Nothobranchius furzeri: one gene and its partner. The protein of the gene in region 2 purifies or fractionates together with the protein of the main gene of each other region. This does not show direct contact. Links are inferred from orthologs where the notes say so. Each region holds a gene or a part of one and is shown on either strand. Other genes may lie near its edges.

What was found.
Region 1: the proteins of dna2 (region 2) and mms19 purify together in Homo sapiens (affinity purification with mass spectrometry; 3 studies listed by BioGRID and IntAct, counting the BioPlex papers as one, with this or other methods). This does not show direct contact. The link is inferred for Nothobranchius furzeri from reciprocal best matches to the Homo sapiens genes DNA2 and MMS19.

Annotation. Positions count from the first base shown.
Region 1 is NC_091756.1:28,167,419-28,171,072, forward strand, and holds part of mms19 (MMS19 nucleotide excision repair protein homolog), read right to left. Parts: coding exon 3,607-3,654; intron 3,504-3,606; coding exon 3,426-3,503; intron 1,860-3,425; coding exon 1,721-1,859; intron 1,621-1,720; coding exon 1,466-1,620; intron 1,389-1,465; coding exon 1,310-1,388; intron 72-1,309; coding exon 1-71. UniProt on the Homo sapiens protein: Key component of the cytosolic iron-sulfur protein assembly (CIA) complex, a multiprotein complex that mediates the incorporation of iron-sulfur cluster into apoproteins specifically involved in DNA metabolism and genomic integrity.
Region 2 is NC_091749.1:53,953,961-53,957,614, reverse strand, and holds part of dna2 (DNA replication ATP-dependent helicase/nuclease DNA2), read right to left. Parts: intron 2,561-3,654; coding exon 2,438-2,560; intron 2,345-2,437; coding exon 2,119-2,344; intron 2,045-2,118; coding exon 1,930-2,044; intron 1,838-1,929; coding exon 1,681-1,837; intron 1,601-1,680; coding exon 1,409-1,600; intron 1,344-1,408; coding exon 1,101-1,343; intron 1,013-1,100; coding exon 899-1,012; intron 793-898; coding exon 683-792; intron 604-682; coding exon 494-603; intron 423-493; coding exon 294-422; intron 213-293; coding exon 117-212; intron 40-116; coding exon 1-39. UniProt on the Homo sapiens protein: Key enzyme involved in DNA replication and DNA repair in nucleus and mitochondrion.

The DNA.
Region 1 (3,654 bases), on a different chromosome or scaffold from region 2:
ATTACTCTCGGAGAGAGCAGAAAACACCATGCTGCAAAGAGCAGCTCTGTACGCTGACAGCACACTCTCATCTACAAACACCAGAGATGGGTACAAGTTATGTGCATCTTTATACAGACCACTAGCCATGGACGTAATCTGGGGGGGGGGGGGGGGGGGGGGGGAGATGGGCCCCCCCCCCCCCCCCACTTTTTCCAAAGTCAAGTTTTGACCCCTGCACTTTTTACCATCCAAAAATATTATATATATATATATTATATTAAATTGACACTGGTTGAGCTCTAGGACCAAGCGGAAAACAACCGTTTGTGTTGAAGCCTGTTTCCCATTAGAGCATACTGTAGATACACTCCCCCGTGTCCCCCCACCTCTAAAGTGAAAATTACATCCATGCCACTGGTGTGAGATGGCTGAGCCTGATCATGCGATTTAAGTCCCATCAATCCCTGGAAGATGTCCATGTTTCTGAACTGATTTAAATATAAGAACAGATTTTGTTCATTTTAACACTAAAAGGTTTTTAACACGCTAAACCATTGCTTTCAAACTGGTTGCAGTGGTACTTTAGCCACAAACTTCAGCCACATCACATCAGACAGCCTTCTGCTGACCAGAACCAGCAGAACCCGTTTAATGGGTCAGGCTGGAACACTAGTGGGAGGTCTCTATCTGCCGTTATGGCAATAACAGTTTACTGTTGGCATCATGGAGGACCCTGAAAGTAAAAGTAAGAGAGCAAAAATGTCTTTGGAGCTGAAGCAAAGAGCTAAAACCAGAGTGAACTTTGGTGCAGCCTACGCTAGTCTGAGGGAGCTAAAGGAGGCTACGACATCACGGACTGATGGTGACCTGGCTTTGTTGCTAATGGACTTGTAAATCATAATATTTTTTGTCCAACAGGGTGGATCTTTTACTTTGTGGCTCACTTAGTGTTAGCTCGTTGTTGCAGCAGGGTTGACTAGTGCATCCAAAACTGATCCTCCTTTATGGGAGCGAGCAGTAACTCTTCAGTTACTTGATCAACATTATTGCTCAGATCTTTCTCCACAATTACAGCTCTATTGGAGATGCACTCTTTTTGGGTCTGTACAAATACATCGATTTGACAATAAAAAGGTGGGAGGGGTGGAAATATGCCTGAATAATAATCACACTGCAATCCTCTGACCTATAATCAAAGTGAATCACGAGGTGCTGAAAGAGTAAATCTAGTGATTACTTTGTGAAAATTCAAGAGTCTTATCAGTGTTTGTTATTTGAATGAAATAAACTCGGTTTCAACTTTAAATCAGAGGAATGATGAACTCACCGGTATCTGAAGACGTGTTTGTTTTCACTGACTTGATGAATCGTTGCACCACTTCCAACAACGTACGTCTATGAGAACACTGTTAAGAGAAGCTTATGACTCAGTAACCATGACAACAGCAAAGCTCTACACATGACTACGGATTCTCGGTCTGACCTGTGTTCTGCTGTTGTACTGCTCGATGAGAGAGGGCATGACAGCAGCTGTTATGATGTGGCTCGCCCTGTTGGAGGCGCTGCAGGCAGCCTGTAGCAGCTTGGCACTGGGCCATACCAGCTTCAGGTCGGGCTCGCACAGATGATGTTTACAGTCTGGGAAAATGTCACAAAGATGTTTGCACTGCTGTTAATTAGACGGTTTTAATGAAACCCTGCCTGTAAAAGGAGCCTTCGTTTTAAAGAACTGGTTCACCTGTTAGAACCAGATCCAGGAGGGTGATGAGGGTGTCTTCAGAATCAGAGTTCACCACTGAGCGAGACAGACAGGAAGTGAGTGCGGTGAGAGCGGTGAGGGCTGCTGACTCGATCTTCTCACTGGATGTCTGAAACACCTGCAGGCAGGAAACGGAGACGGGGCTGTACTGAGAGCACACACACCAGTGAAGAGGCTGGGTTTCACAGTAACGTCTCTATTTAGCCCCATTCCCACCTGTACCGGGTCGGCCCGGGCCGGGTAGCCCCAGTCGGCCCCAGCCTGGCCCGGTTGATTCCACACATCCTTGCCTTAAGCCCATGTGGGCTGATTCTACCCACCAATCAGAGGCTTGCTCTAATGGAAGGTGTGAATTTGCTGTCAGCAGTGGGCGTGTTGGCCCTGGTCGGCCTGAAGCAGTACCCCTCGGGAAGAGGGCCGAGAATGAGCCTTGGTTGGCCCGGGAAAATTCCAGGCCACCCAGATATGTAAACAACCTATGCTACCCGGCCCGGGCCGACCCGGTACAGGTGGGAATGGGGCTTTTGTTTCTGTTTATGAAATTTTATAATTTTATGTTTTCTGATGTCAATCTATTTCTGTTTTGAGATCATTATGATTTTATGACTTTGTTTTATGTGAAGCACACTTTGTGTTTCTATGTCTGTGATGAGTGCTATATATAAAAAAAATGTACTTACTTACTATTTATGGCACAGTCTGGTTTAGGGCTGGGCAATTTGGCCTAAAATCAACATCACCATATATCGTCACGTGCATTATGTTGAGTCACATTTTTACATGACTCAAGGTGGTACAGCATCTTAAAGGGACATTGCCAACCTACACACACCTTTTTCATTTTTTATTATCATTATTATTGTGGAAAAAACGATCATGATAAAAGTCGAAATTTTGATAATGATAAATATTGAATTTATTGCCCAGCCCCCGTCTGGTTGGATGGCAGCGTGAAAAATCATCTAAAACTCAATTTTGTGTTTACTCAGGTTGTCTTTGACACTGAAATGTGTTTGCTGATCTGAAACTTTTATGTGGGACAAAAAGGGAAAAAAAATAAATATGTGAGAGGTTAAATTATAGTTTTTGCAGCATTGAATGGGTGGAAAAAAAGGGTTGTTCACCGGGCCTTTCCACCAGACGTGTAAGCGTCACGCAACGTCAGCGAAGTGTAGTACGAAGCAATTAGCCGCTGTTATAGTGGATGGGTGTTTCCACCGGCCGCAAAGCGTCCCAGAAATGCTGTGAATACTTCAATTTTTTTTATACACTACGCTTCCAGAACATGTCAAGCTCAGCAGTTCAGATCGGGTCAGACAGGAAGTTGAACAAAAGCAGGGTAAAACATCCAGAAACTTTCAAAATAAAAGTCACTTGCAGATTTTCAGTTGATCAACTAGTAAAAGTACGTCATTACCTGTAACACCTCCAAAGCTGAGGCAAACAGGAAATAAACCACAGACCTTTTCGGATACATGCTGCCATCTATCTGAAATCTAATGTGTGGTTTTGCAATTTCCGGTCCTTCAGTGACTTTGCGGACCATTTGTGTGGAGCTCTTTTGCTGCTGTTTGCACCTGAAACACTCCCAGTAGGAAAGGTGCTCATGGCTAAAATGGTTATGCATCCATTGGAAAGCCAGGGTTAAACTAAAACGGCTCAAACTTTGTAAAACACTACAGACCTCTCTGCGCAGTGACGTCCACAGTCCCTGGAGGAATTCAGCCAAGTCTCTGTGATCATATTTTGACCCGCAAGCAGCCTGAAACAGATCAAATATAAAGAGATGACAAATCATCATAAAAGTCACATTTCATCTTACTTTAGCTTATTCTTCTCTAAGCTGCGGCTGTAGTCAGTCTCACAAGAGTCTGCAGTGAATCCAGCTTTGCACTCTGAATGTCCGAGTCCAT
Region 2 (3,654 bases):
CGGATGCTTGATGCCCATGCAGGTGGTCGCTACCACCAGCTGGAAAAAAAATGTTTTTATTTAAAGTTAAAAAAAAACATTTTGAATCAAGCTGAAACTTCAATAAAACTCCTCACCTCTTTGTTATAAAGCTGCTCCAGGTCTGAGAGCGTTTTAACGTCCCTCTTCTTCCTCACACTTTCCTCCGTGTATGGCAGGATCTCAGGATGAACCTGAAAAAACAGAAGTCAGACCAAACGTAGCTTTTAGATGACAAAACAGGGATTTATAGGCTACATCAGATGGAGGCGGACCTTCTGTCCCTGCCCCAGACGCAGGAAGCCGACCCGGAAACGTTTGAGCTTCAGCAGGATGTTGTCGACAGCGGAGTGGGTGTAGCTGGTCAGCAGCACGTTGAAGCCACACGCGTGCAGGATCCGAACCTGGGAGCAAACCGTGTCAGTGTGCTGGTTTATTCTACAGAAACGTCATTTTTGCTCTGCTCCAGCTTCACCAGGGTGCAGATCGTTGTGGTTTTACCGGTGCCAGGCATTCCAACGATCAGTGTATAATCTTTGGATAATAAAACCTTCTTCATGGCCTGTTTCTGTGGTTTGTTCAGACCTGTGTGAACGTAATTCAGCTTATTTAGCTCCAATGAAAACAGAGCAAACCGAAAAAAAGACAAAAAAAGCTTCTTGACCTTTGAGGATGTTGGCTACGGCGTCTTTAGCCTCTCTGGGCAGAACAGAGCTGAGGTTGGTGATGAACTCTGGAGAACGAAGGTCAACAACCAGCTCCCTCAGCCGCTCGCTGCACAAAGCCATTAAAAGAACAAACATTAAACCATTTTAAAACAAAAGGACCATCTTATAAGTTTCCATGAACCAGTTGAATCTTCATAATTCCCAGTTCCTGCCTGTTCTGGCTGTTTTCCATCAGTCTGGAGAGATTACTGAGATGCGTGCTGAGGCCCACCACTCCCTCAACACCATCCAGTCGAAAAAACATCCTGCTGAACTTTGTCAGGTCTCTGTTAAAGTTAAAAACCACAAAAATGCAGATATATTATTACATTTTTTCTAATCTCTAATAACAGAAACATTTGAATCTGCTGTTACCGGTCCAGAGTGCAGCTGACTGATGTTCTGCTGACCTCACAGAGGTACCCGGTCGCCAAGCCGATAAAGCGTCCTTCCTGATCGCTAACGACAATGCGATCTCCGCCGGTCAGACCGCATCTGGTCACGCCCTGCTGGGAGGCTACGCTGCTGCGCTGGAAACGATGCAGGAAGACACCGTCGGACTGGAGCCCCACCGGGCCGCTGAGCTGCAGATTCCCCACACAGCTGCCCGTCTTCTCACTAAAACAAAAATATTTTACTGCGCTCGATTTTATTTAAGTTTTAAAACCAGCTTTATCCGGCACCTCTCCTCAACCGACTGCAGCCACACACGCTTTCGGCCATTCTTAGCCTCCATGGTGGACGCCTCCAGGCAGCAGAGCAGCAGCCAATGAGAGAAGTAGCTCAGATGAGGCAGAGTCAGGTGACCTGTCTCCTGCTGAAGAAAAGTACGCACAACCTCCTCGCTGGCATCTGCAGAGCTCGTATCCACTGCTCTGAAACGCGGATGAAGGCACATGATCCAACACAAATACAACCGACAGGAGAGAGCAGAAAAAGTAAATTTCCTGTTTACCTTTCATATAAAGCACAGCTCAGCCTTTGAGGGCAGTACTTGCAGGTCTGTCTGTCCGTCAGGATGTCAGGAAGTCTGGAAAGGCGGCTTTGATCAGCCGCCTTCTCCACACAGCTGCTGATGTGACGAACCAAAGTGTTCCTCAGCTTCAGCAGCTCTGGGAAAACAAAGTTTTATCGTATTAAGGTTGCAGCAGCCGATATGTGAGACAGCTTCCAAGGGAATCAGACAGATCTGGGCTCCCGGTACCTCGGTGGTCCATGTGACCGGCTGCGACCGGGTGCATGTTTCCAGTCTTGAGGTAAAGAAGAAGGCCGACGACAGGATTGTATCTTTCCTTGCTCATCAGAGTATACAGAATTACCTGTAAATAGATGCACAAAAACCACATTAACCAGACTTTAAATAACAATAAATTACCGACGAGAGTCCACCAACCTGACTGCGGTGCTCTATGGAGTTTGACTCTTTTCCCGTTTTTAGCTCCAGAGGGATGGTTTTCTCCTCAGGAATTCTGCGGCTGCTGTTTGGCGCTCGTTGGATCTGAACTTTAGCTGTCACGTCTATTTTCCCTTTGAGGCCAAATCTGGGGGACCAGACGTTCTCCTCTATGTCTGCCAGCTCACTCACTGTGAAGACAGAAGCCGAGTCCTGGCCCTGGCTGCTGGGAGACAATCAGCTCGTTAGGAGGTCAAAGGTCAGGACATTTCAAACTGATTCTATTCCCACTCAGCGCTGATGAAAGACTTGTACCAACGTTTTAAGGCTGATGGCTTTAGGGTTGGTAGGGCAGAGGTGTTCGTTGGCCCAGTGTTCCAGTGAGGGTAAGTACTCATGCAGCTCCTGCTTAATTTCCTCCTGACTCACACCTAAAGAGTACCTGCAAACACAAATACGGCTAAATGTGCAAAAATCACCAGCAAAGAAGCAAAAGTTCACAATCCTAGTGATAAGTTAGTTATTCACCATTATTAATGTCATTTACAACAAAATGTTTATAGACTTGAGCCAAAATTGCCAAGTTTAAACAGTTTATGAAGCACAAAAAATGAGATTTAAAACAAAAAAAGAGAAAATATTGTGATTTCTTGTTTGAAAATAGATTTTTATTTTTTATTTGCAACAAAAAATAAATTAATAAACAAAGAGTTATGAGTAAATAGTTTCTATGGACCCGAGGCAGGGCCATAAAGTTTGGATTGTGGGAAAAAATGTTTGAAATTGAAAAAGTTAAAACTGAAGCTGAATGCCAGCTTTTAAACTGAAAATGTGAAAAACCCAAAAACATAAAAAATGTACGTGAAAAAAAAGTGTTTTCTTTCAGCTCGAAAATTTTATTTCAGTTCAGTTATAAAAAATGTTCAAATCTTTATTTGTTCATTCTCTGATTTTTTTTTCCACTCTCAGAACTTTATATTTGATTTATTTATTTATTTATTACAGTTTTTACAAAGTGGAATGAACAGCCATAATTAAAGCGTAGAAAATTACTATGACACTGAAATAGCCGCTACACAGGGGCGCACTCGGAAACATTTTTAAGGGTGGCCAAACAAAGAAGGTTTTGGGGTGGCACACCAAAATGGTCCTTTTGGTAACCTTTGGAGAGTTTAGACTTTGGCGTATCCAAAACACAGCTATTTTCCAGCCACCCCTTGGGGAAGAATTGGGTTTGGACCGAGTGGCTGTACCGGTAGTTTTACTCTTTTGTGCACCACTTTGTTCAGACAACTCAAAATTTGTCATTCGGATTAGACTTTTAATTTTTTCAAAAGTTAAAAAAAGGTTCTTTTTCTCCAGTCAGCCAAACATTCCGGTCCTTTCTCAGCTCCACACTTTCTACCATGAAATTAGAGCTGCTGTCTGGAATTTTCCCCTTTCAGGAATTCTATATGACTTTCCAGAAATCTATAAAAGTGATCGTCTTATGTGCTGTGATGTAATGTAGGATATACTCCTTTTGTTTTTGCTAAG